Linked DNA regions of Struthio camelus. The main gene of each other region encodes a partner of the protein of the gene in region 4 in a complex. Links are inferred from orthologs where the notes say so. Each region holds a gene or a part of one and is shown on either strand. Other genes may lie near its edges. The genes, in order: PRPF8, LSM7, PPIH and PRPF31.

Region 1 (6,933 bases), on a different chromosome or scaffold from region 4:
GAGACAAAAAGAAGTTGTCATACAAGCATTCAAGTAGGACAGAAAGGCAAATATCGTTGACCAAAGGTGTTATGCCAGCCCTTTTCCCTGAGCCTCCTCTTGACCTTAACAACCATTCAGTCTTTTAAGCAGCAAGCACATCACAAACTTTATGCTATGCAGAGAGAGAACACCCAGGTATAGCTCACCCAGGGCAAGCCACGTGGTAACACACAAACCTTCCCAGCCCTTACCCAGATAACCCCTTATCTTTCCTCCTAAACTCAGCACTTACTGAAGATTGATGTCTCTAACAAGAGGCTCGAACTTGGGACCTCCAGGAATAGCCATGTTCAGTGCCTTGGAGGTGAAGAATGCCTTCAGGTCAAACAAATAGAAATAGTTATCATCCACAAGGTCAGTGAGCAGCTGATTGGCCAGCCGGTACAACGTGGACATCATAGGGAGCGTAAACTGCCAACGCTGGTATGTAGAACCATTTACGTACCTGTGAAGGAACAAAGCACGAGACACTCACTACACAGCCAGAGAACACTGGGCCTTTACCAAAGAGCCAAGACCATCCAAACACCTTTCACTGCCTGTCATTTACAGAAAACAGTTAAAGACAGCTAACTCATGGGTCCCTCCAGACAGAAGAGAAGGTGGAAGGATTGCTTAAGACCACTGTGCACCACAACCACCTAGCAGTTACTGACCGGACCAATTCCCCTCCTCCATATCCAGACTGACACACCAACACCTGAAGTCATATTCAACAGCCTTTGAGGCGTAAGTGCACTCCTAACAAATATCAATTTAAATTCCAATCTGACAATTCAGGTTTTCAAATTTATGGCATGAAAGGAAAAACTCCAGTTTTAGCCAGTTAACTGGGCAGCAGCCTTCCTGAACAGAGACACTTTGCTTGTTCTCCATGGACGCTGAAGATAGAGGACTAGTTTCAAAGCAGTCAGATTCCTCCTTGCATCCTTGAGCGAAGGCTTCCTCTCCCCACTAACATCATACATAGCCCAGTACAATAAGACCAAAGGGTCTATAAAGTCTGCATATAGCAGTAGGCCTATTTAGTTTGTAATGTTTTGGGGTTTTTTGGTTTTTTTAGGTTTTCTTTTTCATTTGTTTTTTGCAGTGAACTGTTTCATCAGAAAGAGGTACATACTTCCTGTTGTCCTTCAGTGGCTGGTGGTCATAGAACCAGTCTAGCACAGGAGCATCTTCCTCCGGATCCAGCTCAAGCTGGATTGCTTCCAGGGGCTCTACATCCAGGATGTTATCAGCATAATCCAGAGGGGGTTCTTCATCATCAAACGGAGGGAATCTCATCCTCTTGAAATGACGCCTATCCCTCTTCTCTCGCCTCATCATAATCCACATTGACCTGGCAGAAACCGAGACCATTACGTACAGCACTACGTTAGCGTAGTTGCACGAGCGTTTATCTGCAAGTTTCCCATGAGGGTTAAGGAAGAAGGTGCTTACCCCCACTGTGCAATGTACACTGGCTCTATGACCCAAGGAATCTCATTCACAAAAGAGATGGCGCCTGTAATATGGTACAAGACTGGAACATCTCTGATTTGTTCCCAAGGCATGGGCATGTTCTCCAAGAGCTTTAGAACTGCATGAGGCATGTACTTCAGAGCACTACAAACAGAAATCAAAGAAAAACAGAGTTGGAAGGGATCTCAAGAAGTTAGCCATCCATCTGCTGAAAGCCTAACTAACTATATATATTTCACTCCCGAAAACTGTTCATCTGATCCGTTCATAAAGGTCTCCAGTGACAAATCCAACTTCCTACCCAGTCTATCCTTGTGCTTCACAGATCTTGCCACCAAAAAGTTTTCTGCTGATTTAGCTTCAGAGAGGATGTTACATGCTAAGAACAGTACCATCCCAAAAAATCAATTTCAAATGAGTTTCTACAGGTAACTGAAAGTTAGTGCAAAGGATCCCAATTTGCATGAGATGCTTCTCTGAGCCCAAATAGCAAAGAAGCACAGGTGCATATTAGATGTCCAAAGAACGTGCACTGGCCACCTTACACATTTCCTCAAGCTCCTGTTAAGACCTGTCTGTTATTCAGGGTAATGTTTTTCTCAAAAATTCAAAGCAACCGCTTCCTTTGCTTATACTCTTCTGTGTTGCTATCCCAGTGCAACTGGTTATCATGTCTTCCTCAGGTTACTACGCTGTTTTCTATACACAATTGACACGGAAAGCCCTTCGGAGCTCTGACAAGGCAGCAGAGGAGGACCGGGCGCAGCTCCCCTGTGCCACCCAGGCCCACCGTGACCAAGCAGGGGGCTGCGTTACCCCAGGTAGACGCGCTTGTCGTGGCGGAACTTCCTGTTGGTCATGTCACCGTGGTCGCGGATGATCTTGCGGACATGCTCGGGGGGCATGTCCTCCTTCTGCGCGTCCACGAAGCCGAACTTCCTCTTCTCCGCATAGCGCTTGGCCTGCAGCTGCTGCCACTTGCGGGCTGCGGGGACAGAGGCACAGCGGGGTCAGGCCCGGCCTGCGGGGCCGGCCCAGGCGGGACACAGAGGGCCCGGGGCTGGCCGAGGCCGGCGAGACCGGTCCTACCCACCTTTCTCCTGCAGCTTCTCCTCAGACATGTAGTCGGGCAGCGGAGCCAGCGGGCTGGGCACCGGGGCGCAGCCGCCGCGGTACGGGAACACGGCGGCCATGGCGACGCACCTGCGGGCACGGAGCCGGGCTCAGGGCGGGGAGGCGGCTGCCGTTAACCTCCCCCCCCGCCGCCACGACCCCTTCCCCACACCCGCCCCGGACCCCCCGACCCCCGCCCGCGCTCACCGGCTCCCGCGACACCCCCCGACTCCCCACCACAATGGCGGCCCAGGCCCGTCGCCACCGCGCCTCGGAGCCCCGGATGTGGGCGGGGCGCGCTCAGGAGGAGCTTCCAATCAGCTTCCGAGCCGCCTCACGGGCAGCTGCCGCAGCCCGTCAGAACGCGGAGGCGGGGTGCGGGGCGGGACAGGAGGCAGAAGAGGAAAGGAAGCCGTGCCTGGAGTACACTTCCGATAGGCAGCCCTTCCCTCTCCGGTCCCGCCCTCCCGCCGTTTCGATTGGTGGAGGGGGGACGGCGGCGACAGCACGGCGGCGGCGCTGATTGGACAACGCCTGGCCTATTTCACCTACGCCACCGGCCTTGCGGGGGCCCCTGGGGGGGGAGCAAGGGGGACCCCCATGGGGTGCTTTAGGGGCGAGGGGCCCCATGGGACCCCGTGGGGCGAAGGGGACCCTCCCTGGGGTGCTGCGGGGTGAGGCCCCCCCATGGGGCCTTGGGGGGATGGAGAGGAACCCCCCCCCATGGGGGGCTGGTGGATGCTGGGGGGCGAGGGAGCCCCCTATGGGGCCTCGTAGGGTGATGGGGGCCCCCTGTGGGAGCTTTGGGGGGGCGAGGGGTCCCCCATGGGATCTCGGGCACTCTCCGTGGGGTGCTGTGGGGTGAGCCCCCCCATTGGGCTTTGTGGGGATTGAGGCGGACACCCCCATGGGGTGCTGTGGGGCAGGGGGGACCCTCTATGGGGTGCTGAGGAGCAAGGCCCCCCCATAGGGCCTTGTAGGGTGAGGAGGACCTGGGGACCTTCCATAGAGTGCTCTGGGGTGAGCCTCCCATAGGGCCTTATGGGCATTGAGGGGGACCCTCTGTGGGGTGCTGCTGCCACCCATGGGGCCTTGTGGGCCAAGGGGGGACTTCCATAGGGTGCTGTGGGGTGGGGGCCCCCCACAAGGGCAATGGCAATGGCAGTGCATGCTGGCCAGCCCACGTGGCCCCATGGTGCTCACATCTCCCCTCCTCGGGTCCAGGGCCACTCCACCCCACAGCGCCGCACAGGGCCGGAGCATGGGGTGCCCCAGAGCCCCCCCCCCAGGGAGGGACACCTCCTCCCACCCAGCCCAGACCCCACGGCTGGAGCGCAGGACCTCCTTCCCGCCAGCACCTGACGCCGGGGCCGTCAGTGCGTCGGCAATTAGCCACCGTCCTCGGGGCCCCCTTCCTTGGCCCCCCGGGAACGGCGTGCCGTCACACAGCCCTCCGAGCTGGTTCAGTGTACTGTGAAAGCGCGAGGTACAACGCGCTGCAAAGACAAGCGGGCTTAATGCACCGCAGCCACCCAACAGGCGGTCACTGGCGTCAGGGCTTGGGCATGGCAGGGGTGCTGGAAAGGGGAGAGGTTGTCCGTGCCCCGTTAACCCAGCCCTGGAGGGGTGGGGGTTGGGCTCCCTTCCCAAAATCAAGGCCACAGCATTTTTCCTCTGGACAGGTAAGCATCAGGTACCCAAGCGCTTGGCTGCAGTGAGCTGCAAAGCCACCATGAGCACTGCAGGAAAATCCCATCTGCTAAGAGAGTCCCCCAAAACAGGGCTTCCCTGGCCTCAACCTCCTGCTGCGATATCCTCCGTACGCACCTGCTCGGTAGGTGATGTATCTAGAAAAGCAGCATGTGCCAGTCCGGGGTGGGGGGGGGTGCCTTTTATAACATAACCCGGGCTGTCCTCGCGTGCCTGGGGTACACGATATCCATGTGACGGCAGGAATGCGACAACACAATTGAGGCCTTGAGAAACGTGCCCGGCGTGGGCAGAAGCAGGAGGACAGAGCAAGCCTTGCTGGACGGGTGCAGAGGCCGAGCAGCTGCGCTGCGAAAAGGGCAGCTCCTGAAAAACTGCGCAGAAATGGGCCAAATCCAAAAGAGAGCGCTGGCTGCCTGCTCAGCCCTGCCTGGGAGGTACGTGAGGCACACGGGCACTTGATAACCGCCGTGGGCCCCGAGGTGACAAACCCAAACCCTGCACCTGCAAGCTTCCTTGCACTGTCCACAAATAGAAACATAAGCAGCTTTGGCCACGAGTCGTTTCCAGCATCCCACTACCCACACGTGTCGCTTGTCTTTCTCCTTCTGGACAGAAATGTGTCTGAGCCCTTATTTTCCTCCTCGAGGCAGAAGCCACCCACCCCCAGCAGTGCATTGCCAGTAGCTGCAGACTGTCTCCCTGCTGTTTCAAACCAATGGAGAAATCGCACATTCAGGGTGATCTGCCCCAAAGAGAGTGTGACAGACAGACCCAGCGGATTTCTCCAAATGGGCACACGTAACTCTGAGTGGGATGACTTTGCTTTTCTGCAAGGTGTTGGGCCACTGCAAACAGCGCAGCGCAGGGGAAGCAGGAGGAAAAAGGCAACGTGAGGACCTGCCCAGCTCTGAGCCCCTTCCCCTCAAGCTATTTCATTTGCAACTGTTTATTAAAAGCTTGTGTTAGTATGAGCGCTTGCTGCCGCACAAGAGTGTTACGGAGGCTCTGCAGCAGGACTCTTCATTCCTAAAAGATGCCCAAATCTGGCCCATCTGACGACCCCTCCTCCGTGGGAAGTGATCACCACGTAGCCCCATCCTGGCCAGCAGTTTGCTCCTTCCCATGCTTGTGCAGGGGGACTTGTTGCACCTGGGAATGAAGCAACACTGAAAATATGTCCAGGTGCCAAGAGGAGTCAGCAGCCCATCCCCGAGCGCATGGACACAGCACCCACTGCCCAGGGCTCTGGTGCCCAGGCTGCACCTGCTGCAGGCTGGCCTCAGCCTCTCCCTCCATCACCCACCTGGGACTATCTCCTCAGGGAGGACTCGCGTGCAGGATTTGGCTTTTGCTGGACTTGGCCTCGAGGGTGAAGCTTTGGCGCCTCTCCTGCCTGGTGGGATGTGCCATGGAGAGCACAGGGCTGGCAGCAAGGTCCCTGTGATGCTGGGCTGGCCCTTGGGCAGTGCTGGTGCCCAGCCTGTGGGATGCTGCAGGGTGTAGCACCGAAGGGGTCAGAGACACACAGCAGCTTTCGGCTGTCTGGAAGAGCAGCAGGGAGACAATGGTCTTCTCCTCGCTCCCTTTTCATCTCAGCAGTGGCCTTACGGAGCTGCGAGACCTGTCGAGGCTTCTTTGAGCAGCTCCCAGGCATCCAACCACGTCATCAAAGGTGCAGGGGAAGCAGGGCCCCAAGCGCCTGGTCTGGAAGTGCCTTTTCCACAGCGCGGGGCCTGGGATCTGCAGCCACTGGAGCAGCCCAGGTGCTCTGGTTAGTGTGGATCCTCCAAGCAAGATACTGAAATATCCGTGCTCATTCTCCACTGCTCTTCTTCCTCGCTGTCCTCTTCCATAGGCCTCAGGGCTGCTCATCCCCTGGACCCTGCAGAGAAAGGGGCTATTTCTCCTTGTCCTGCTGCACCTCCTTGCTGGACTTGAAGAAGTCACTACGCAGCAGGCGGTAGAAGAGGATGATGTTCATGGGCGTCATGATTGCCATGCCCACCGTGCCCACAGTGTACGTTGCCAGGGGCACGTTCTCCCGGTTGAGAAAGAGCCACCGTGTCATCCAGGCCAGCGTGGCAATGCGAAACACCACATAGGTGCCCAGGTTGACGATGCTGTTGAGGCGGTAGCAGGTGGTGTGCACCAGGTTGGCCATGAGCAGAATCTGCCGCAGGTGGAGGAAGATGGAGTTAATCTCCACCAGCAAGGCAATGAGGGCAAACCCAACGTACTGATGGAGTACCACTGCAATACCAAAGCAGACGATCACCTGAGAAAGACAAAAGAAGGGAGGCTGAGCCGGGGAGCTGCTGTCTCCTCAGGAGGGTGTAGATGGTTGCAGGAACAGCAGCTCTTAGTCACTGCCAGCGACTTTCGTGTTTGGGTGCAACATGGAGCAGAGGTGCAAACCATTGTCATGCCAGTGCCCAACTACTGGTCATCCCCCCACTTACATCTCTGCAGCATCTCAGCCGCCAGCTGGTCCTGCCACCTCCAGCATGAGATCAAGTCTCCCCACCTTCGCACAAGGCCCGAGTATTTTTTTCTGGTGGGAAGAAGGGGCAGGTGGAGGAGATGGAGACATTTCTACAAAGTCCA
Region 2 (7,370 bases), on a different chromosome or scaffold from region 4:
TTCCCATTCCAAATACCCTTTCAGACAAACATTTGGGCATCAATGCAAATCAGACAAAGACCCTGACTACAGAACGCACTAAACAAATTCCTTGTTCGTCTGTGCCCAGACTGAATCAAGCGAGACAATGGATGGGGACAGACAGATGAACATTCTTAACACAGCAAGAGCCAATTCTACACTCCTTAAGATGTCAAAATATTTTGTAAAAAGGCACTAAGCTCATCTTTCAAAATTCCCTCCTAAGAACAAAATTAAACTTTGAGATGCTTCCTTGCAAACAGGCAAGGGAACACTCTAGAAAACAGATTGCCCCCTAACATGAGAAGACGCTTTCATTTAAGGGAGCAAAAAGGGGAAGAGGAACATTTGTGCTTGCAGGGGAAAATAAAACTAAAAATCACAGCTGTGCTAGCCTTAAGAGGTTATAGAAGGCTTTAGTTCCACAGAAATGCAAAGATCGCACTAACAGAACAGTTTAAGACAGTAAGATACCAATTTTTACTGAGTTTTTTTTCATGCTGTGTGTGAACTGGCCTCCTCCAATGGTATACACAAAGTGAAAGGCAACGGCCTCATTTAAGAGGACAGAAGCTACTTCATTCAAGTGCTGGAGGACAACAAGGACCAGATGGGTTATAGGGGAGGTCAAAAAGGACTAATAAGAATCCTCTACCACAAGCAATGCCCCTTAACCTAACCTCTGTTATCTTAACCCTTCCTTTAAGCATAGTTAACTGTGAACAAATCTCACTTTGGATGATCTCAAGCTGCAGTTTCTGGTTATTCAACTCACAGAACAGAATGTTTTTTATCAAGCGAAATATTTGGGGGCAGGGGGGAAGATTTTTTTTTTTAAAAAACACAAATCGCATGTTACTTACCTCTCATATATTCAATGGTACCATCAAGCACAAGGTTCAGAAGAGGGTCAAATCCTTTCAAGACTCCGCTAGCTATTAAAGACCACACAGAAAGGAACGATTAGAGACACCCCCTGCCAAAAAATAGGACTGTGGCAACACAGGACTCAGTTCTCCAGTTCCAGGCCCTCCTCCCTCAAGCAAGGCTATCAAACAAGCCAAGCCAGAGATATTAAATAGTGCCCTCTTTATCACAATGCAAATGTAAAAGCACAAGCTGAAACCGGTCTGTGTTGTGTCAATGGAAGCCTTCAGGTTTTTCAGCCAGTTCTTCAAAATGTTCTTCAAAACTTTTACATTTTTGTTATCAGTCAATTTCAGGGGCATTTTAAGAATACCTCAGCATACAAATCAACACAATTTATATCATTAAAAAAAGCTCTTAAGGAAGATGAATGGGAAAATGAACCAAGAGGATAATATTTAAGTGTTTTCCTCAGGTGACCCATCTTCCAGGTGTCCTGTCTTCCGTCCTGAATTGTAATCTTTTCAACATAAGTATTGCTTTTATAGGGATACATTGCACAGAGCCAAGCACTTTGGCAGGAAACCAAATACGAATCTACAAGACTGGTCAGTAAAGAAACTGCAGGACTGCACAGAATAACTTTCCATCTTGAAAACATCTATTGATTACCAGCATTACGATCATTGCTAAGACACTAAACCAAAAGATATGACTCCCATAATCCTATTTAAAAAAACAGAAAGAAACTTGGAGCAAATTTTTTGATAAGAAAATCTAAACCAATAGAACTAATAGAATTGTCAATTGCCCCCAAAAATACAAAAAACCCACTGATCAAAGATTCCTAGTAACTTTCAAAACTAGTAAGCATCCAGAGCAACTGGGAGTTTGAAAATGGTATTTTAAAACAAACTCAGCTAGCCTTGCAAAAGCTTACGCAGAGCACTTCCACACAGCATGTGAACTGTCAGACGAACAAGTGTCTGCAGATGGCACTATCAGCTGCTTAGTGATGGATATATGCTAGCAGAGCAAGGACGGATGAAAGGGGAGGATACAAGAGCCTTGAAAGTGACGAAAAGATCTTGTAAAACATGTTAGAATAATCTAGGAATTCAAAACAACAGGCAGCACATTCAGGAAGTTAACAGATGAAAGGGAAGACAGATGTGTTGCTCTGAAGCTTTGTTTCTTTTGTGCTTTAAGTGCATCCTTGCAATAAAAACAAACAAATAAACAACCCCCACCAAAAACAGCCAAAAAGATACTTTAAGAAAACCAATGGAAGATGATGAGAAAAGGACACAAAGAGGATGAAACACAAAGATAAAATAACAGTGATGGGGGCTACTGGAAAGATTAAAGGCAAAACACAATAAGAAGCTTCATACCTGTAACAGCAAATAGCAACAAAGAAAAGAATCCATTACTCATCTTTTCTTGAATGAAGGCAATATGATCACATAGGAGACAAAAGTTGACACAGAAGAGGAGGAAAAAAGCCAAGATGCAAAGTATGCTGCAAATTCACGTGCCTCACTACCAGCCAAGTGCTGCCCGTAGGCTCACCTTCTCTCCCACCTTGGAACTTCACTCGGATTGTTTTGTCAATGTATTTGGAGAGGTCCAAAATACTCTCCTTCTTCTTTTTCTCCTTATCCTAAGGAAGTTGACCAAAAACAAGCTAAATTAAAACATCTCTGCACGCACACAGACCCCGGGTGGGGAACCATACCACTAAGGCAAACCTCCCCCAACACAGAGCTAAAAGCGAAGGCGGAGCGGGGGAAACGGCGAAAAGGCACAGCGACCCTCCGCGCGCGGGCAGCACGGGGCAGCCGGGCCCGGGCATCTCCCAAGGCTGGGAGACCGCAACTACACGGCCCCGCTCGTCGCCCTGCAGCGGCCGCAGCCACGGAAAGACGGTGACGAGCCCAGACGCCACCTCCGCGTGACTGCTCCCTAGGCGAGCACGAGCCCCGCAGCCCCCGCCAACAGCTTACCGCCATCTTGCTCGCGCCGCCACTGTCCTCTCCCCGCCGCTTGCCATTTCATTCGCTGCTGCCAGAAGCAACGTCAACACCACAGGCCATTTCATTGGCTGTCCACAAGGGCGACTCGCTCCTCCAGCAGGCGTGGGGCGGGACTTCCGGAGCGGGTTGCCGTGTTACCTGGTGCGGAAGGGGGCTCGGCCCGGCCCGGCCCGGCCCCGTCGGAAACAAAAGCGGGCGGCGGCGCGGCGGGCCCGGCATGGCGGCAGTACGGCAGGCCTGGCTCCGGGCCTCGCTTCTCCTGCTTTTCATTGCGCAGGTGAGTGGCTGTGCCGTTCCGAGGAATACTCTGGGCCCGCTCTCTCTGCGGGGCCCGGCGAACCCTACCGGGACGGAGCAGCAACCGGGCAGAGACTGGGCGTGGGGCAAAGCCTGGCTCTGGTGCAGGACAGATCCCAAGAGCCCGTTGGGGCTGCGGGGACTTGGGGGGGCTGGTACCCGGCCTCCGCTGAGCCGGAAGGACGGCCCCAGTGGTATGAGGGGGCCGCAGCCGTGCTCCCGTAGTGGGAGCGCGGTTCCGGAGCCGCCTCCCGGGTGTTAATGACCGACTTACAGTATTTTCTTGCTGGACGAAAGAAGAAAGCATCGTTTTTACCCCAAACCGGGCTCAGGTTTGTGTTTTGTGTCTTCCCCGATTTACGTGTTTCTTAATCTCTTTTCCTGTGGTTAGCAAAATATTTGTCGTAGCTCTTGCAACATCGGTTCCCTGTGCTGCTAGCAGTCTTCTCCAGGTGGTCCTTTGGGAAGTGTGCCTAAGCCACTGGATGGGGCTGGGATCAGGGTCACTGCAGCAGGGAAGGCTCTTGGCTTTGAGTTCATCCCAAGCAACAAACTGCCTCTGAGAAAGCAGCTGTTGTAAAGTAAAGCAAGGTTTCTGCTGAACCTGAAGTTATAGACTGTCTTGATTTTTGTCTTCTTGTTCCTCATCTGAACTGATACCTTTTGTGGGATAAACTGTATTTCCAAGGGTCTTACAGGAACAAGCAAAAATTTTAAAATTTCTTTAAAAATCTCCCCACCACCACCCCCAAACATGCATACTGATTCCTTGCCAGTGATGTTTACTTGCATAATGGGCAGACTGCCAGCTAAGTTCTTTTTCTGTGCATCACCTGCTCCCTTCCTCTGTGCTTGCCTGTCCTGCACACTGTTGGTGTCTCTAATAATCCTTCAACTAGACTAGTGCTGCCAGCCTGGAGCCCTCAAATTAATATGAGAGAAGATGTAAGAATGGGTCAAGGACTGGCATGGAGTCATTTTTTTCCATCAATTTTGAAAGGGTGACCCCCATGAGAGTGTGGAAAGATAGCAGGTAGGATAGTCCAGTGGTTGAGCCCTGACACTTGAAGGTCTTGGCTTCAATTCCATGCACTGCAGCTTGCTTCCTTTCTGTAAGCAAGTCATTTAGTATGTTTGTGCAGCAAAGTAGTGTAAGCATGGTTGAGCAAGCTTTGAACAAGTCAGCTGGAATACTGAAACAGTCATGCTGCAGCAGCAAAGAGTTAACTTACTATATGCTGCTAATGTATTTCTGCTACCCAAGCTAGCTCATTTACAACTTCTTCGAATATAAGTAGTACTGTCTGTTTGGTGTATTGGGAGTATATCTTTCTTCCTCTCCCTACTGAGAGGTGGGATGGCCTTTTTCAGAAGATGGTCCAGGTTTGCTTCTGAACTGAATTAAGTAGGGAGAAGGAGCAGGCTGGCTAGTGAAGTATGGTTCTCCTAAATATAGATCCTCATCTGGAAGCAGCAGAAGAGGGGTGCGATCTTAGAGATCCAAGTACAATCTACACCTAGAGATCTTGTTTTGGCATCTGAGTCCTCACTTTTCATTTAATTTCCTGTCATTCTCACCTTTCCTTCATGGTTTTGCCATCTCTTGGTTGCTCTGTAACAATAATGAGGTATAGGAACCTTTGACTAATGCAGAATATATAACACAATCTACAGTGAGCATGTTAGCTCACTGCCATTAGCTAGCTGCCATTATTTTACTAGCTTTTGGTAGAATATTGAATTGAGGTCGTGGTTTCTGTTTTGTAAAATCAGTGTTCTGTGATGCAGGTCCAGTAGGTCCAAGAGACTTCCTGAAGTTCTAGATTAAGATGGCTGACAACTTAATCACATGAAACTGTCACATTATGAATAGTGTCAATTACGAACTCTCTTCCCACTGTACAGTGCCTGTTAAAGGAGTATTGTCTTTGTCTGCAAATTTGTTGTCTGCTATTGATAGTCATTGCGTTGATTATGCAGCTCACAGGGGAAGGAACGCACCCCACCTCCTGGTAACTCCACTATTTGTCTTGCATGGTTTCCGCTGTAAGAGTAGGCATAGCTCATTATATCTTTTTTTTTTTTTTTTTTTTGGAAGGAGGGGGGAGGAGGAGCTATATTCCCTGAAGAAGCAATAGTGTCTCTTAAATCTCTAAGACAATTTTATCCATTGATGAAGTTGAGGAAAAGCTGTACATGCAGTATATTCTAATAAGGGAAAAAAATTAAAGAATTAGAAACAAATTACTCTAAGTTGCAAAAAGAGGGGAAAAAATACAAGTCAATAGCAACCTGGAAATTGTGTTGTGTTTTCCCTGGATTTTTCTCCATGTGCTTTTCAGCTGTCAGAGCTATGGGTCATTCCCAGTCCTTGTGGGTAATTGCCATGTAGTATGGGATTTCTCTTGGTTGTTGGGACTGCCTGAATCGCAAACAGCACTTCATTCTCTGTTTATCTTTGTGCAGAGGAAGCTGCTGCTTATGGTGTAATTCTGTGAACCAGTGTCTCCAAGGTAATAATTTTTCTTTTCCTGTGCTATAGTGTACATCATTCTTGTGTCAGCATCACTGTTCACCCAGATTGTGCTAGAAACTGCATGATTGGAGTGACACAGTTAAACTTTTTGAGGATTATTTTTAATTCTTGTTTATTAAAAGGACTTGACTTAAGACCAGCTCCCCAGACAGCTGTGTTGACACAACTGAGATGACTATGAACTCAGGGAGAGGGTTGTGAATAGGCAACTATTTCTGCCAGCTTTGCTGCTGAAACCAGCATCTACTAGGACTGTATCCTCAGTTGTTCAGACTGGAGGATTGTGGTCATAAAGCACTGTCTTCTCTCCTCCCACTATTGCCATACAAATTTGTAATCCTAATTAGTGATACAACTTCTCTGTGTATACTCAGATTCATGTGACCTCCTTACAGTGTAAATTGCTCCTTCTAATGATCTCTTATCCCTTTACTGTACAATGTCATGCCTTAAAGGTATACAGTTTATATCTGTTCCTGTCTTGCCTCTTTCCTCTTACTGTAGATGTGCAAAGGTTTCTATAGGTACCTGTAAGTTGAATCACTCCACTGCACAGCAGGAGAAGGTGGCTTTTTTCTTGTTCTGTAGGGCTCAACTTGAGCTAAAATTTGTTGAACAGTAAGCCAATACTGCAGTTCTGTGGTGAACTGGATCAGAGAATTAATACAGCTGACAAACACTGAAAAAATAAGTATTTATGAATAAATGTGTTATTTTTCAGTGGAATCAATTCAATGATCCAAGTCACTGTAGATGCACAACTCTATTTGCACAAAGAGGGGTATCACGTGAGAAGAAATACTTTACAGTAGGCAGGAAAGGGCTGGTGCTGCTGGTAGCGATGTCGTTGTCTTCTGCCTTAAAACATTAGCCTTAGGCTGTAGTTCCCTGAGCCAATGCCACTGGAAAGGTGAGATTGTTCATACTCATTTCCCAGCTCTTTGCTCCCATTACTACCTGTGTGCCAACTCTTGCTTGTCAGGTCTCTCTGAAATGATAGAGTTAATGTAATTGCAACTAGCAGTAGCCTGGCATGAAAAACTGATAGTGAGCTCAGTCAGCTCATAGTGATCTAGCAAGTATCACAGGTGGAACAAGTGTGTCTGAGGTGCCCAGATGAGTCTGGAGATTAAGGGAGGGAGGAACAAATGGCAAGAGTGAGCCATGAGGTTTGCTCAGCCTTTCATGTCACAATTCCATGAAATGCAGATGTGCTAAATTTCTCTTTGCCACCTTCTTCACTTCTTCCATTACTTAATTTGTGAGCCCTAGCGTTTGTCCAAATTCCATTAACTCACCAACATGACAAAAAACTAACTCAGGAAAAAAGTGGTTTGCTCTCTTAATGTGTTAAATAGGCCATGGAAGGGTCTGATGAGGATCAGAGCAAGTAAGTGTGCCCTTCTAATGGCTGCAAACAGACTGGCTTAGTTGCCTGTGTAGTTACACCCTCAGACTTTATGCTTTTGTTATGTGAAAGCCCTTTCCTAGTTTTGCAGTGTCATGTAAAAACACCTCACTTGTTAATTATGATTCTAGCAAATTTCCAGCTTTGCAGAGATCTTACTTGTGACATGGCACTGCTATTGAATATGGGTGCCTGATTAGTAAGA
Region 3 (7,158 bases), on a different chromosome or scaffold from region 4:
CTGCTATGTGGCTTATTCAAACTGTCAGCTACAAGGCAGGATCGTGTACCCTATTTCAGGGCCCAGTGTGGCCGTTCTTGGTCCCCAAGTAGCTTTATAAGAAGCGCAATTAATAAGTTACAAATACCAGTGCAACCTGTAAAGCTTGTTGAGCTTTAGTGAAAGTAATAAAGCCACGGGGACATTTGAGCAGCATGATGATTAGGACTAGCTGCAAACCCAATGTGACTAAGCCACACACTTTGCAGTCAGTTCTCTCAGCTTTCACAAAATTGAGTTTTGTGTTAAAAAGCTTTTTCCATCATCCCCCTCCAATTGCAAGTGGTTTGGGAAATGAAATAATTTCCCCAGGTCCTAGGGTAGCGAAGAGACCCAGTGATCATCCAGCATCTCCCCAACAGTTGGCTTATCCGAAAGGCACAATACTGTAGGTACAAAGTCTTTTCTACTTTGAGACAATTCACTAATAATAGAAATTAATTTTGATTTAAATAAATCCTGGACTAGACGCTAGGATTTATGCTCAGAGTCTCTCTCCACAGAGCCAAAAGAAATTTGTAGGGTTTCTTGCCTGGGGGACAGAAGAAAGGAGAAGGGCAACAGGGTAAAAATTCCCTGCAAGTTTGAAGAGTCTCTAATGATGCTATCATGCTGTTTTAAAGGGGAAATATTTTGGGAGAGAAGAAAACGTGCTTGCCCAAGTCTCCGGATTTCTTTCCAAGTACATTGTACTTGTACTGCTGCAGTAAGATCGTAGGAACATTGTAAGGAAACCTCCAGTTATTACTGGCTGCCTCATAAGAGAGCCAACAGATATTGCAAGTAAGCATGGACCTTGGGAAAGAGTCGCATATTATACCACGCAGCAAAAGTACAAAAGAAATACAGAAGTACATACGTTTACAAAGTCACCTCCTTGGATCATGAAATCCTTTATTACCCTACAAAAAGTAAAACGATACTTACTTCTCAGTCAAAAAATGCCTCCAGAAGCTTACTATGTCAGAAAAGGGAGTTAGTTCTCACAACCAAAAAAATCATAAGGGTCTGTAAGTACTACAATGCAAAATCTACACTGAATATTAACTACTGGCTGATATAAAGTAATTTGGGATCCACTGCTGTTAAACATGGGATAGATTAGGTGATATATGCAAGAACATAATCTCTGACCTGGCAGACCAGGAATGGGGGGACCCCCTGCAAAGTGACCCCTGTGTGTCAACTCAAAAGCTCCAAGGAGACCATGGTTTCCCTCTGGTATATCTGAGGGCAACCCCAAATCCCCCAATCCCCCCAAAGGACAGACATGCCAGAGGCTCTGGAAAGATGATACCAGCAGTGACCAGTCCTCCATGCTTAAAAAACACCTCCCAGACTAATAACACCTTTGAGGCAGCTCTCAAAACCAGGCCCAGCTCACACTGCTGTTTAAGCATCTAAACAAAAGCAGAAGAGTTACCTGTGGAAAGTGCTTCCCTTATAACCTATAGGGACACCATCTTTCCTAGGAGGAAATAAAAAGGAAAATCATTGCAGTTTACTGTATATCCCAACACAAAACTCTCCCATGGGATTTGCTGGCAGTGCCAGTTACAGCAACGTACCCAAACCCGTACCCGACTCTGGCCGCACCCAAAAGGGAAGGCTGGGTAAGTCTGCCATCCGTGTGACTGAGCCAGTCGTGTTTTCTCTAACTTTTTCGTTCTGTGTTGATGCACTAAGAAAAACTTCCAGGTGACCTCTCTTTCTAGTCCCCCAGCCCTCTGCTCATCTGAATATTTTTTAATACTATTTAGAAGGAGAATCTAAGCACATACCTGAATTCACCTGTACAAAACTGCCTGGAAAACAAAAAGTACAAAACAGCAGAGCATGAGTCACATTTGTATTCCTAGGAATGCCAAACCGCTGCGCTCTGAATGTTTTACAGAAGAAAAACTGCAGGATTGTCCTTAAAGCATCAGGAATACCACCAAGGAAAAGGGCAACTGTCAGGAACTGCTCATCGTTTCCATTTCAAAAGGGGCATTTCTGCAGTTGGGGAGGGTCAGCTGTTCAACACCGGGGTTGTAAGAGACGGCGAGCGTGGCGTGCGGCACCGTTTTGCACAGAGGGCAGGGTATATGAATGTCTACTGTGGGACTGAGATGACCACGGAGAGAGGCGCGAAGGGGATGCAGCGGCTCTGGCAAGGAGGTGGTTGCTCTTGCACCGGAAACGCTCCCGCAGCACGAAGCGGCGCCGGCTGCCCCTTACCTGAAATTCTCCGCCGTTTTGGGCACGACATCAGCGAACAGCTCGATTTTCATGCGGCCGACCTCCTGCGGGGGGGGGGGGAAACGTGGTCAGCGCAGCCTGCCGGACCCCCGCTGCACCCACCGGTATCCCCGCGTCCCTCCCCCGGCACCCGAGCAGCTCCCTCCAGTTGCACCTCCTGCGCCCCCCTACTCCTGCTTCACCCCTCACTGCGCCGCTGCAGCCGTCTCCCCCTGCAGCCCCCCCACAATCCCCCCCAATGCGCCCCAGCCCCCTCCCACTGCAGCTCTGCCCCCCCGAGACCTCCTCCCGCTGCAGCCCCCTCCCCAATGCAGCCCCCCTCCCCGCTGCGCACCCCCCACCACCCCCTGAAACCCCTCCCCATGGCGCCCCCTCCCCGCATGTAACGCCCACCCCCACGCAATCCCTTCCCCCCCCCCGCAGCCCCCCTCCCCCACGTAGCCGCCTCGCCCACCTGCCCGCCGATGGAGACGTCGAAGAAGACCACGGGGTTGTTGGGGTTGGACGCCAACACCGCCATGGCGCCCGCCCGCCCCCGGAAGCGGAAGCGGCCGCGGCGGCGCGGAGAGGTGCGCGCGTAACGGCCGCTCCCGTCACGGCCGCGCGCGTAACGGTCGCTCCCGTAACGGCTGCTCCCCTAACGGCCGCTCCTGTCACGGCCGCGCGCGTAACGGCCGCTCCTGTCACGGCCGCGCGCGTAACGGCCGCTCCCCTAACGGCCGCTTCCATAATGGCCGCGCGCATAAGGATCACGTGTATAACGGCCACGGACGTAACAGCCGCGCCCCTAACGGCCGCTTCTATAATGGCCACGGGCGTAACGATCACGCGTGTAATGGTCGCTCCCTAACGGTCCCTCCCCTAACGGCCGCTTCTATAATGGCCGCGCGCGTAACGATCACATGCATAATAGTCGCTCCCCTAACGGCCGCTCCCGTAATGGCCGCTTCCATAATGGCTGCCCGTGTAACGATCACGCGTGTAACGGTCGCTCCCGTAACGGCTGCTTCCATCACCGTTGCTCCCGTAACGGCTGCTTCCATAATGACCACGCACGTAACAGCCGCTCCCCTAACGGCCGCTTCCATAATGGCCACGCACGTAACGATCACGTGCATAACGGCCGCGGACGTAACAGCCGCTCCCCTAACGGCCGCTCCCGTTAACGGCCACTTCCATAATGGCCGCGCGCGTAACGATCACGCGTGTAACGGTCGCTCCGATAACGGCCAGTTCCGTAACAGCCGCTCCCGTAACGGCCGCTTCCATAATGGCTGTGCATGTAACGATCACATGTGTAATGGTCTCTCCCGTAACGGTCGCTCCCATAACGGCTTCCGTAATGGCCACGCGCGTAACGATCAGGCGTGTAATGGTCCCTCCCGTAATGGCCACTTCCGTAACCGTTGCTCCCGTAACAGCCACTTCCATAATGGCCGCGCGCGTAACGATCACGCGTGTAATGGTCGCTCCCGTAACGGCCGCTTCCATAACGGCCGCGTGCCTAACGGCCGCTTCCGTGTCAGCCACACGCGTGTATTGACTGCTCCTGGAGGGCTTGGCGCCCCGGAGCGGCTCTCCTCCGAGTTCCCCCTGCCGCTGTCTGCAGGCCTCGCGGGGTTGGGGCAGGAAGGAAAGGCCCGGAGGTGCCCCGAGGCGCCGTCCCCTCGCTGGCCTGCGAAGCCGTTGGCAGCTTTGGCCAAGGAGAGGATGAGGTGCGGCGAGGAGGATCTGCCAGGAAAGGAAGCGTGAAGAAGGCTGAGGTGCCCTGGCCTCCAGAGAGCCTGCTGGAAACGCGCTCGTTAGGGGTGGCTCGTTTCCTTCGCAAGACCTTGTAGTTCCTTCTGCTGAGCTTGGCTTCTTGGAAAAAGCTAGCCACCGCCTCTGGTTTCTTCTGGGATCCGCTTGTGCCTCCAGAGCAGGGAAGAGGCTGCGACCTCGGAGCCCCCTTCCCCTTTCGGATGGGAGGAGCCCCTCGTCCAAAGCCCTTCTCGTGCCTTCGTTTCAGCTCCAGACTTCTCGTGGGGTCAGCAGAGGGCTTCTAGTCGGATGTCAGGTAAAAACTCAGCTCTGCAGGCCCCTCCGCCGCGGGTCCTTGCGAGGATGCTGGTGGTGGTGGGGATGATGCTGGCATCTTGGAGCTTGGTTTGGAGCAGGTGGGATGGTGGTGAGCTTGTCTGACTTCAAGCATGGCATGTCTTCCTCTTGCTCCCCAGATGTTGTTAAAATTTGGGACAGCATCTCTGAATGCTACTGCCAAGCGCTGCTGCTGAACCAGGTGGGTCTTGTCTCCTCACCCTCCTTCCAACCCTCATGAGTGCTGAGCCCCCGCTTCCATCCTGCCATGGAGCAGCCTTATTCCTTGCCACCGCTGAAAGCAGAAGAAATGCCCCAGCAGGAGCCTGCAGTTTTGTGTCAGTTTTGCCCCAGAGCCACGTCTCCCTCAATGGAGAGAAAAAGCAAAGCCCAGCTGGAGAAGCAGACTGTGAGCTCGCTTCTTCAGGGCCTTCTCGAGCTCCTCCTGGCAGGGCAGAAAGCCTGGCGCACTGTGGAAGGCGAGTGCCAGCGTTGTTGCTGGCCCTGCCAGCTGCCTTGTGGGGACAAGGGGCCTAAGCGAGCCGCAGTCAGGCACGAAGCAGAGACGGGGGAGCGGGTTTGCCCCAAGGCCATGGAGAGCCCCAGGATGCCCTTGATGGTGAGTGTGGAGCAGCACGGGGTGGGGGCTGTGTTTGGAGTGGTTCTTCCCTTCCACTGATGCCATCTCCTCTTTGCTGCTGAGAGCAGGGGGTGTGGGGACGGGGCTGTGGCCCCCGCAGGCAAGACGTTGGCTGCTCCATGGAGAGTAGGTGGGGTGGAAGGGGGGGGCGAGAAGCCTCCCGAGGGGCTGTCTGTTGTGCTGCAGGGTGTTTGGGGTCTGCTGAAGGGCTGCTCAAGTCACTTTGTTGCTCGGTGCTTTGTTTCCAGCCTATTCCCAAGCTGTGGAGTTGAACTAGGCCCAGCTTGCACTGCGGCCGCACGTTCCGAAGGGGAAGGTGCTGAGACGTATAGAGGCGACCCTGAAAGTCTTTGTGTGGGCCTTGTCCACGAGCAAGGATTTGGACTTTGTCTTCAAGAACTTCAGCATCCTGGAGTGCTGATGAGATTCTTTGAAGACTTTATTTACAAAGTAGGTAGGACCAGGAACTTGGCAAAATCTTTCCTCAGCGTAAGTCGGGCCTCTTTTCAGCACTGCCTCTCCTGCTCCTGCTTCCTGGTCAAAGCCTTGGCCTGCCTCGTCCCCTGCGCTCGCCTTGATTTACAGGAACGCGAGCTCTCGGCAGACTTCTTGTCTGGCCTTCAGGAGAGACTTGGCGACACAGAAGCCCTTCTGAGAAGCTGTCTTTGGTCAGAGCAAAGATCCAGCCCGGTAGCCCATGTCCCTTTGTGCTAGGAAAGAGTATAAGCCCGGGGCAGGTTTGTCTTGGTGCTTCTCCCAGTGCCTGCCCTCCTCCTCCCAGAAAGCGACGCTGTAGAGATGCTGTCTCTGGGCAGGACGCAGAGGCACCAACGGACCAAGGCCCTGCCGTCCTGCTCTGCTGGTGTCGCTGCACTGACCAGCCCTTTGCAGCCTGTGCTGCAGTGACGGGTCTCGGACCGGGCCCCCCGCTTGCTGTTGTTCCAGCTCTCGGGGCTTTGGCTGTCCCAGGTTTCCCTGAGCGTGCCAGGGAGGAAGGAGGGCTGCGTGTCTCTCTTCCTGCAGCTACAGATGCAGCCGTTTGAGTGTCAGCAGAGACTTGGGGGTTGGCCGCACTGCTTGGACTCCCTGTTCTGTCTTCAGCAATGGTCCGTGCAAGCAAAGAGAGCAAAGGCAGCCACCAGAGAGGCCAGCTACCACAAAGCCTTGCGTCGTGCTAGCTTCCGTTGACTTCTCCTTTAGGCAAGACCGAGTCTCCTGAGGGAGTCTCCTGATTCTTGCCCTTGCCCAAAGTCTGGCAGTGTTGCTGCCCATTCTCAGGGCTTTGCTGGGCTGCAGGCACAAGTTGGGAGAGGGGCTGATGTTGGTGCAAGAGCACTTGGTGAGAGAGTTGTGGAGAGGCAGCTTCTCATGTGGCTGGTGGGCAACTGTTTGCCTTGTGAGCAAGGGGCTCATTTCCTGGGGGTGGCCTCATGGGTCTCGGTCTCTGTTGCAGAAGCCAAGGCTGAGGCCTTTGATCATCACCCACAGGGAGACGGCTGTTTTCCAGATGCCTGCTGGGGGGTGTCTTCTTGTTCCCACAGAGAGTAGGTTTCCTTCTGCAGCCCTTGACGGACCGAGCATGCAGCTTCTCATCTCCCACTTGGTAGAGCCACCGAGAGCTGCCGAGGGCCTCGTTGCCAGGGCTTGTCTCCTCCTGAAGCTAGCGGGGAAGAAGTTTGTCAGACGAGGGCTTCTCAGTGAAGTGCGTGGTCAGCCATGCTTTGTTGGGAAGCCCTGTCTGTTGGGGTGAAGTCAGCTGGAGGAGGGCCTGCTTTCTGTTCCCGCCCTGTGTGGGAGAGGAAGTTAGGCCCCACTTGGCGCAGAGCTTCTTGTGCTCCTGCCCTTTCTTTTGGCTGAGGCTGAAAAAGACAAGGCCCAGTGCCCAAGATCTTCCTCTTTCCTGCATGTGTCTTCTTCCGGAAAAGCATCTCTGAGAAGGTACATCCCAAGCAGGTGGAAACAAGAGCTGTGGTTGGGGCCTCTTGTGCCCTTCCCAGCACTGGGGTTGTGTGTACTCACCTTCCTAAGATATGTGCTGACCACATGCTGTCTTCTGCTTTGGCAGACCAGAGGCTTGACAGCAGCTCTCCACTCTCCCCGTGACCAGCTGCTTAGTGGAGGCTGCAAGAGCCTGTGCTGCCCCTTCTCGAAACCGCTGTCTC
Region 4 (7,185 bases):
GGTACCTGGGGGATGGAGCGGAGCGGAGCGCGGCTCGCGGGCGGGACGTTCCCGAGGAGGCCGGATGCCCCAGGGAGACCCCCCCACGCTCACCTGCGGCCCCCCCGCTTCTTCCTCTGCCCGTCGAGCGGCGCCGGCAGCGGCTTCACCTGCTTCACGGGGGGCGGCTCCTGCCACTTGTCGAACTTGCGCTCGATCTCCTCCTTCAGGTCGTAGCCGACCTGCGGAAAGGAAACGAGACGGCGCAGAGAGCCCAGGTGTCCGGGCGTCCTCCCCGAATCCCCCCCTCGCGCCCCGAACCCCCCCCCCTCACCTTCCCGTCCTGGCTCTCGTGGAAGCTGTCCACCCGAGCTGCCAGGGTGCACTTGGCCGAGACCAGCCGCGCCGCCTTCCTCCGCAGATCCTGGGGGAAACGGGGCGTCAGTGCGGGGCTGGGGAGGGGGGCAGGAAAGGGGGGGGGCGCCGGGGACGCCATACCGGGGGCAGGGACTGCACGATGTCGCTGTGGTAGATGTAGCCGGTGTGGGGCAGCACCGAGGTGCTGGAGAAGCCCGAGAGCGTCTTGCGCTGCGCCCCCAGCAGCATGATGTTGCAGGCCGGCATCTTGGAGAGGTTGGTGAGGCCCCCGGCGATGCCTGGGGGGAGGCGGGGGGCATCAGGGAGCAGCCCCCGGCCCCAGGAGGGGCTCGCGCCGGGCGCTGGGGGCAGGCGCCAGGGCTCACCCATGATCTTGGCGGCGGTGGAGGCCCCGACGATGATGGAGAGGTTGGGGGCGATGAAGGACATGCGGGACTCCACGTACTCGTAGATGCGGTGCTTGGACTGGTTCAGCTCCAGCGCCATGTCGCAGGCTTCCTCGATGCGCTCCAGCTCCTCGTCCGTGAGCTGCTGCCTGCGGGCGGAGCGGCGACGAGGGAGCCCCGGCGTCCGGGCGCCCCGGCCCCCGACGGCGGTCGGCTCGCAGCCGCCAGCAGCACCGACTCACCCCTGGGTGGTGGAGGCCGTGACGCTCACCACCATGATGGTGGCGTTGGTCAGGATCTGCTGCACGTTCTCGTTGTTCTTGCACTTGTCCAGGCTGTTCCCCAGCTCCTGGGGGCAGACGGGGCGGGGGCAGAGGGCTGAGACGGGCCCCCGCCGGCGTCCCGGCTCCCCGCTGCCCCTCTCCGGAGCCGGCAGAGGCCCCAGGCGTCCCCCAGCCCCGCTACCTTGACGGTGCGGATGTAATCCAAGGCGTTGGGGACGAGAGACTCCAGCTCAGGGAAGCGCTTCGAGTATTTGTCCCGGATGAACTTGTGGATGATGTCTGGAGGGAGGCGGGGCGGGGGACGGAGCCCCCCCGCACGAGTCAGCGCCGCAGGGAGGAGGAGAGAGGAGCCTCCTGCCCCCGTTCAGCCCTCTGGGGACGCCGGGACGTCCCCAGCGTCGCCCCCCCGGCCGCCAGCCCCCTCCCAGCACTCACTGAGCTCGTTCTCGATCTCCACGGTGAGGTTGTTGGCGTCCACGATGACCCTGTACTCCGGAGCCGCCTCCACCGGCCCCAGCACTGCCGGGAGAGCGGCCGAGCTCAGGGCCGAGCCGGGGACAAGCACGGGGAGGGGGACGCCGGGGCAGAGCGCCCCCGCGTGGGGCAGCGTGGCCCCCCCAGGGCGGGGCAGAGGGCTCTGCCGTGGGGCTGGGAGCGGGGTGGGGAGGGGCCGGCACCTTCCGCGGCTTTCGGCTGCTTGCTGATGTACTCCTCGATCTTCTGCATGATCTCCGCGAACTGCGGGGCCGCAGGGCGCTGCGTCGCGGCGGAGCCGGCGGCCGCGAGCCCCGGCGCAGGGCAGAGCGCCCCGACCGCGGCGCCCCCCTCACGTCCTCCCGGGCCCCCTGCCCTCCCCTTCCTCCTCTTCTCCTCCTCCCAGCAGCTCCTTCTCCTCTTCAGGTCCCCTGAATCTTCCCAGGACCCCCCCCAACTTCTTCCTTGGCTCCCCACATCCCTTCCTCCATCCTCCCAGGACTGCTCCTTCTCTTCTTCCCGAGACCCCTCCCTTCTCTTCCTTCTCCCAGAATCCCCTTCTCTGTTCTTCCTGTTCCTCCTCCTCGCGGGACCCCCCCCTCCTCCTCCTCCTCCTCCTCGCGGGACCCCCCCCCCTCCTCCTCGCGGGACCCCCCCCTCCTCCTCCTCGCGGGACCCCCCCTCTCCTCCTCCTCCTCACAGGATCCCCCCCTCCTCCTCCTCCTCGCGGGACCCCCCCCCCCCTCCTCCTCCTCCTCCTCGCGGGACCCCCCCTCTCCTCCTCCTCCTCCTCCTCGCGGGACCCCCCCTCTCCTCCTCCTCCTCCTCCTCGCGGGACCCCCCCTCTCCTCCTCCTCCTCCTCCTCCTCGCGGGACCCCCCCTCTCCTCCTCCTCCTCCTCCTCCTCGCGGGACCCCCCCTCTCCTCCTCCCCCTCCTCCTCCTCCTCGCGGGACCCCCCCTCTCCTCCTCCCCCTCCTCCTCCTCCTCGCGGGACCCCCCCTCTCCTCCTCCTCCTCCTCCTCCTCCTCGCGGGACCCCCCCCTCCTCCTCCTCCTCCTCGCGGGACCCCCCCTCTCCTCCTCCTCCTCCTCCTCGCGGGACCCCCCCTCTCCTCCTCCTCCTCCTCCTCCTCGCGGGACCCCCCCTCTCCTCCTCCCCCTCCTCCTCCTCCTCGCGGGACCCCCCCCTCCTCCTCCTCCTCCTCCTCCTCCTCGTGGGACCCCCCCCTCCTCCTCCCCCCGCTCCCCCCGGGACCCCCCTCACCATGCGGCTGTCCCACAGCTTGGCGATGCTCTTGACCGAGTCCACGGCCAGGTCGAGCTGCGTCTCCTCCTGCACATCCTCGATGGCCGGCTCGTCCTCCTCGTCGGCGAAGTTCTCCTCCTCCTCCTCGGCCGCCTCCTCCAGGTCGGCCAGCAGCTCGTCCGCCAGCGACATGGCTCAGGCCGCCGCCGCCTCCCCGCGCCGCGTCGCCGCCTGACGACCTCACTTCCGGCCGGGCGCGCTCCCTCCGACGTCACTTCCCGCCCTCCCCAGCCGCCCTCGCTCCGTCATCATCGCCGCGCGCCCCCCCCTCCCGCCGGGACTGCGTCATCACCGCGCGCCGCCTCCCTCCGCACACACCTCCCCCCCCCCCAAACCGAGGCGGCGGCGGCGGGACCGCGGCGGCGACGGGTGACGTCATCGCCGGGTAGGGGGCGGGGCCGGGGGGGAGCCGGGGGGGAGGGGGGCACCGGGGGGGGAACCGGGGGTGAAGGGGGCACCGGGGGGGCAGAAGGGGACCGGGGGGGGAACCGGGGGTGAAGGGGGCACCGGGGGGGCAGAAGGGGACCGGGGGGGGAACCGGGGGTGAAGGGGGCACCGGGGGGGGCAGAAGGGGACCGGGGGGGCACCGGGGGTGAAGGGGGCACCGGGGGGGCAGAAGGGGACCGGGGGGAGCACCGGGGGGCAGAAGGGGACCGGGGGGGGAACCGGGGGTGAAGGGGGCACTGGGGGGGGCAGCAGCAGAGGGGCATCGGGGGGGAACTGGGGGGTCAGAGAGGCACTGGGGGATACCGGGGGGGGGACACCGGGGGGCAGGGGGGCACAGGGACCTCAGGGGGGGTCACTGGGGGTAAAGGGAGGTACTGGGGGGTCACTGGGGGTGAAGGAGGCACCGGAGGGGGAGGGGGAGGAAGGGGGAACCGAGGGGGGGGCAGGGGGCACTGGGGCCTCGGGGGGGTCACTGGGGTGAAGGGGGCACCGGAGGGGCACGGGGAGGAAGGGGGGAACCGAGGGGGGGGCAGGGGGGCACTGGGGCCTCGGGGGGGCACTGGGGTGAAGGGGGCACCGGAGGGGGACGGGGAGGAAGGGGGGAACCGAGGGGGGGCAGGGGGGCACTGGGGCCTCGGGGGGGTCACTGGGGGTGAAGGGAGGTACTGGGGGGGGCACTGGGGGTGAAGGGGGCACCGGAGGGGCACGGGGAGGAAGGGGGGAACTGGGGGGGGGGCAGGGGGGCACTGGGGCCTCGGGGGGGTCACTGGGGGTGAAGGGAGCACCGGAGGGGCACGGGGAGGAAGGGGGGAACTGGGGGGGGCAGGGGGGCACTGGGGCCTCGGGGGGGTCACTGGGGGTGAAGGGAGCACCGGAGGGGGGACGGGGAGGAAGGGGGGAACCGAGGGGGGGCAGGGGGGGCACTGGGGCCTCGAGGGGGGTCACTGGGGGTGAAGGGAGGTACTGGGGGGGGGCACTGGGGGGTGAAGGGAGCACCGGGGGGGGGACGGGGAGGAAGGGGGGAACCGAGGGGGGGGTCACTGGGGGTGAAGGGAGCACCGGAGGGGCACGGGGAGGAAGGGGGGAACCGAGGGGGGGGCAGGGGGGCACTGGGGCCTCGAGGGGGTCACTGGGGGTGAAGGGAGGTACTGGGGGGGGCACTGGGGGTGAAGGGAGCACCGGGGGGGGACAGGGAGGAAGGGGGGAACCGAGGGGGTCCGGGGCGGAGGAGAGAGGGATCGGGGGGGGGGGCGGGCAGTGAGGAGGAACAGAAAGACCCCTGGGGGCTGAGGGGTGCTGGTAGGGGGGGAGGTGTAACGGGGCCCAGAGGACCCCAGCGGGGGGGGGGGGGCAGCAGCGTCACAGCAGGCCCCCCCCCACCCCCCGACCCCGCAGCGCCATGGCGGGGGTGGGCTTCGAGGAGTTCTCGGCGCCGCCGGGCTCGGAGCTGGCGCTGCCGCCCCTCTTCGGGGGCAACATCCTGGAGAGCGAGCTGGAGACGGAGGTGGAGTTCGTGGACGGCGGCCTGAGCGGCGACGCGCGGCCCGAGCACGAGCGCGAGCGCGAGGAGAGCCGCCGGCGCCACCGCGAGCTGGCCCGCCGCAAGCTCCAGGCCCTGGGCCGCCGCTGCCGCGAGATCGAGCAGGTCAGGCCCCGCCCCGCAGGCCCCGCCCACGATAAGCCACGCCCCCAACATGGCCACCGCCACCCCTTAGCCCACCCACCCACACACTTTGCCTTTGGGGCTGTTCCTATTTGAGAAGCGCCTTTGCTTTCCCCTTGTTCTCATCACACAGGCCCCGCCCACTCCGGGCAGGCCCCGCCCCCGCGCCCAAGCCCCACCCACTCCGGAACAAACCCCGCCTTTTTTATCTGGCCCCGCCCACCACACGGGGGAGTGGCCTCTTGGCTTTCAAGTAGCCCCCAAGTAGCCCCGCCCTTTCCCAGGATGTGGCCCCGCCCCCTCTGTGGGCAGCCCCTCCCACTGCAAGCACAGCCCTGCCCCCTCAACTAGCCCCACCCACACGCCTAGCCCCTCCCACAGCCCCGCCCTGGTCACGCCCCCTGGGTTGGCCACGCCCACTTCAGGCAGCTCGTCCTGCTGCTCCCCAGCTCTGCCCCTCCCTGCATCGCCCCGCCCACACAGCTAGCTCCGCCCACTGTCCCCATCCTGGCCACGCCCCCGGCAGGGGCTGACCCGCCCCCTTCCCCCCCCCCAGGTGAACGAGAGGATCCTCAACCGGCTGCAGCAGGTGCAGAAGATCACGCGGCGCCTCCAGCAGGAGCGGAGGTACGGGGCCGGCGACACCGCCTACAGCGCCGGGCACCGCGCACCGACACCGCGCCGACACCGCGTACAGCGCCGGGCACCGCGCGCCAACACCGCGTACAGCGCCGGGCACCGCGCACCGACACCGCGCCGACACCGCGTACAGCGCCGGGCACCGCGCGCCAACACCGCGTACAGCGCCGGGCACCGCGCGCCGGGCACCGCGCGCCGACACCACGCTGACACCGTGTACAGCACCGGGCACCGCGCGCCAACACTGCGTACAGCGCCGGGCACCGCGTGCCGACACCGCGCCAACACCGCGTACAGCACCAGGCACCGCGCGCCGACACTGCGTCGACACTGCATACAGCGCTGGGCACCGCGCACCGACACTGCGTGCCGACACCGCGCCGAAACCACGTACAGCGCCGGGCACCGCGCGCCGACACCACGTACAGCGCTGGGCACCACGCGCCGACACCACGCCGACACCGCGTACAGCACCAAGCACCGCGCGCCGACACCATGTGCCAACACCATGCCAACACCGCGTACACCGCTGGGCACCGCGCCGGGCTCCGCGCCAACACCGCGTACAACACCGGGCACCACGTGCCAACACCGCACCAACACTGCACTGACACTGCATACAGCGCTGGGCACCGCGCACCGACACTGCGTGCCGACACCGCGCCGAAACCACGTACAGCGCCGGGCACCGCGCGCCGACACCACGTACAGCGCTGGGCACCACGCGCCGACACCACGCCAACACCGCGTACAGCACCAAGCACCGCGCGCCGACACCATGTGCCAACACCATGCCAACACCGCGTACACCGCTGGGCACCGCGCCGGGCTCCGCGCCAACACCGCGTACAACACCGGGCACCACGTGCCAACACCGCACCAACACTGCACTGACACTGCATACAGCGCTGGGCACCGCGCACCGACACTGCGTGCCGACACCGCGCCGAAACCACGTACAGCGCCGGGCACCGCGCGCCGACACCACGTACAGCGCTGGGCACCACGCGCCGACACCACGCCGACACCGCGTACAGCACCAAGCACCGCGCGCCGACACCATGTGCCAACACCATGCCAACACCGCGTACACCGCTGGGCACCGCGCCGGGCTCCGCGCCAACACCGCGTACAACACCGGGCACCACGTGCCAACACCGCACCAACACTGCACTGACACTGCGTACAGCGCCGGGCACCGCGCGCCAGCACCTCGTACAGCGCCGTGCACTGCACACTGACACCACGTACCGACACTGAGTACGGCACCGTGCACCAAGACCGCACTGACACCGTGTGGTGACACTGACACCGCATACGCTACCACGCACCAACACTGCACGCGCCACCACACACCGACACTGCATACGGTACCACGCACTGATGCCGCGCACGGTGCTGCACCAACACCGTGCGCGGCACCAACACCGTGCACCGACGCGGCGCGCTGACGCTGCGTGGTACCGATACCACCCAGCCCCCAACACCGCGCGCCGATGCTGCACGGGCTACCGTCACCGTGCACGGCCCTGACATCACGCGTGACGTCCCGCAGGCGGCACTGACAGCCGCGCGCAGTGTCCGCGCGGTGCCGTCAGCCTGCGCGCGGTGACAACAGCCGCCCGCAC

The links.
Region 1: PRPF31 (region 4) and PRPF8 share a complex: the UniProt entries of both Homo sapiens proteins name them as parts of the U4/U6-U5 tri-snRNP complex. The link is inferred for Struthio camelus from reciprocal best matches to the Homo sapiens genes PRPF31 and PRPF8.
Region 2: PRPF31 (region 4) and LSM7 share a complex: the UniProt entries of both Homo sapiens proteins name them as parts of the U4/U6-U5 tri-snRNP complex. The link is inferred for Struthio camelus from reciprocal best matches to the Homo sapiens genes PRPF31 and LSM7.
Region 3: PRPF31 (region 4) and PPIH share a complex: the UniProt entries of both Homo sapiens proteins name them as parts of the U4/U6-U5 tri-snRNP complex. The link is inferred for Struthio camelus from reciprocal best matches to the Homo sapiens genes PRPF31 and PPIH.

Annotation. Positions count from the first base shown.
Region 1 is NC_090957.1:16,069,851-16,076,783, forward strand, and holds the start of PRPF8 (pre-mRNA-processing-splicing factor 8), read right to left. Parts: upstream 3,006-6,933; 5' UTR 2,824-3,005; intron 2,707-2,823; 5' UTR 2,697-2,706; coding exon 2,597-2,696; intron 2,489-2,596; coding exon 2,320-2,488; intron 1,648-2,319; coding exon 1,483-1,647; intron 1,382-1,482; coding exon 1,163-1,381; intron 488-1,162; coding exon 275-487; intron 1-274. Other genes in the region: TLCD2 (TLC domain-containing protein 2), read right to left, coding at 6,227-6,604. UniProt on the Homo sapiens protein: Plays a role in pre-mRNA splicing as core component of precatalytic, catalytic and postcatalytic spliceosomal complexes, both of the predominant U2-type spliceosome and the minor U12-type spliceosome.
Region 2 is NC_090967.1:1,465,040-1,472,409, forward strand, and holds the start of LSM7 (U6 snRNA-associated Sm-like protein LSm7), read right to left. Parts: upstream 3,012-7,370; 5' UTR 2,901-3,011; coding exon 2,895-2,900; intron 2,552-2,894; coding exon 2,461-2,551; intron 957-2,460; coding exon 885-956; intron 1-884. Other genes in the region: SPPL2B (signal peptide peptidase-like 2B), read left to right, coding at 3,142-3,201. UniProt on the Homo sapiens protein: Plays a role in pre-mRNA splicing as component of the U4/U6-U5 tri-snRNP complex that is involved in spliceosome assembly, and as component of the precatalytic spliceosome (spliceosome B complex).
Region 3 is NC_090962.1:12,645,764-12,652,921, forward strand, and holds the start of PPIH (peptidyl-prolyl cis-trans isomerase H), read right to left. Parts: upstream 3,020-7,158; 5' UTR 2,801-3,019; coding exon 2,735-2,800; intron 2,325-2,734; coding exon 2,260-2,324; intron 1,845-2,259; coding exon 1,821-1,844; intron 1,508-1,820; coding exon 1,463-1,507; intron 942-1,462; coding exon 899-941; intron 1-898. UniProt on the Homo sapiens protein: PPIase that catalyzes the cis-trans isomerization of proline imidic peptide bonds in oligopeptides and may therefore assist protein folding. Participates in pre-mRNA splicing.
Region 4 is NW_027182594.1:29,836-37,020, forward strand, and holds the start of PRPF31 (U4/U6 small nuclear ribonucleoprotein Prp31), read right to left. Parts: upstream 3,011-7,185; 5' UTR 2,941-3,010; coding exon 2,767-2,940; intron 1,766-2,766; coding exon 1,705-1,765; intron 1,547-1,704; coding exon 1,463-1,546; intron 1,307-1,462; coding exon 1,209-1,306; intron 1,093-1,208; coding exon 986-1,092; intron 893-985; coding exon 723-892; intron 636-722; coding exon 478-635; intron 404-477; coding exon 314-403; intron 222-313; coding exon 94-221; intron 6-93; coding exon 1-5. Other genes in the region: TFPT (TCF3 fusion partner), read left to right, coding at 4,655-4,900, 5,475-5,545. UniProt on the Homo sapiens protein: Involved in pre-mRNA splicing as component of the spliceosome. Required for the assembly of the U4/U5/U6 tri-snRNP complex, one of the building blocks of the spliceosome.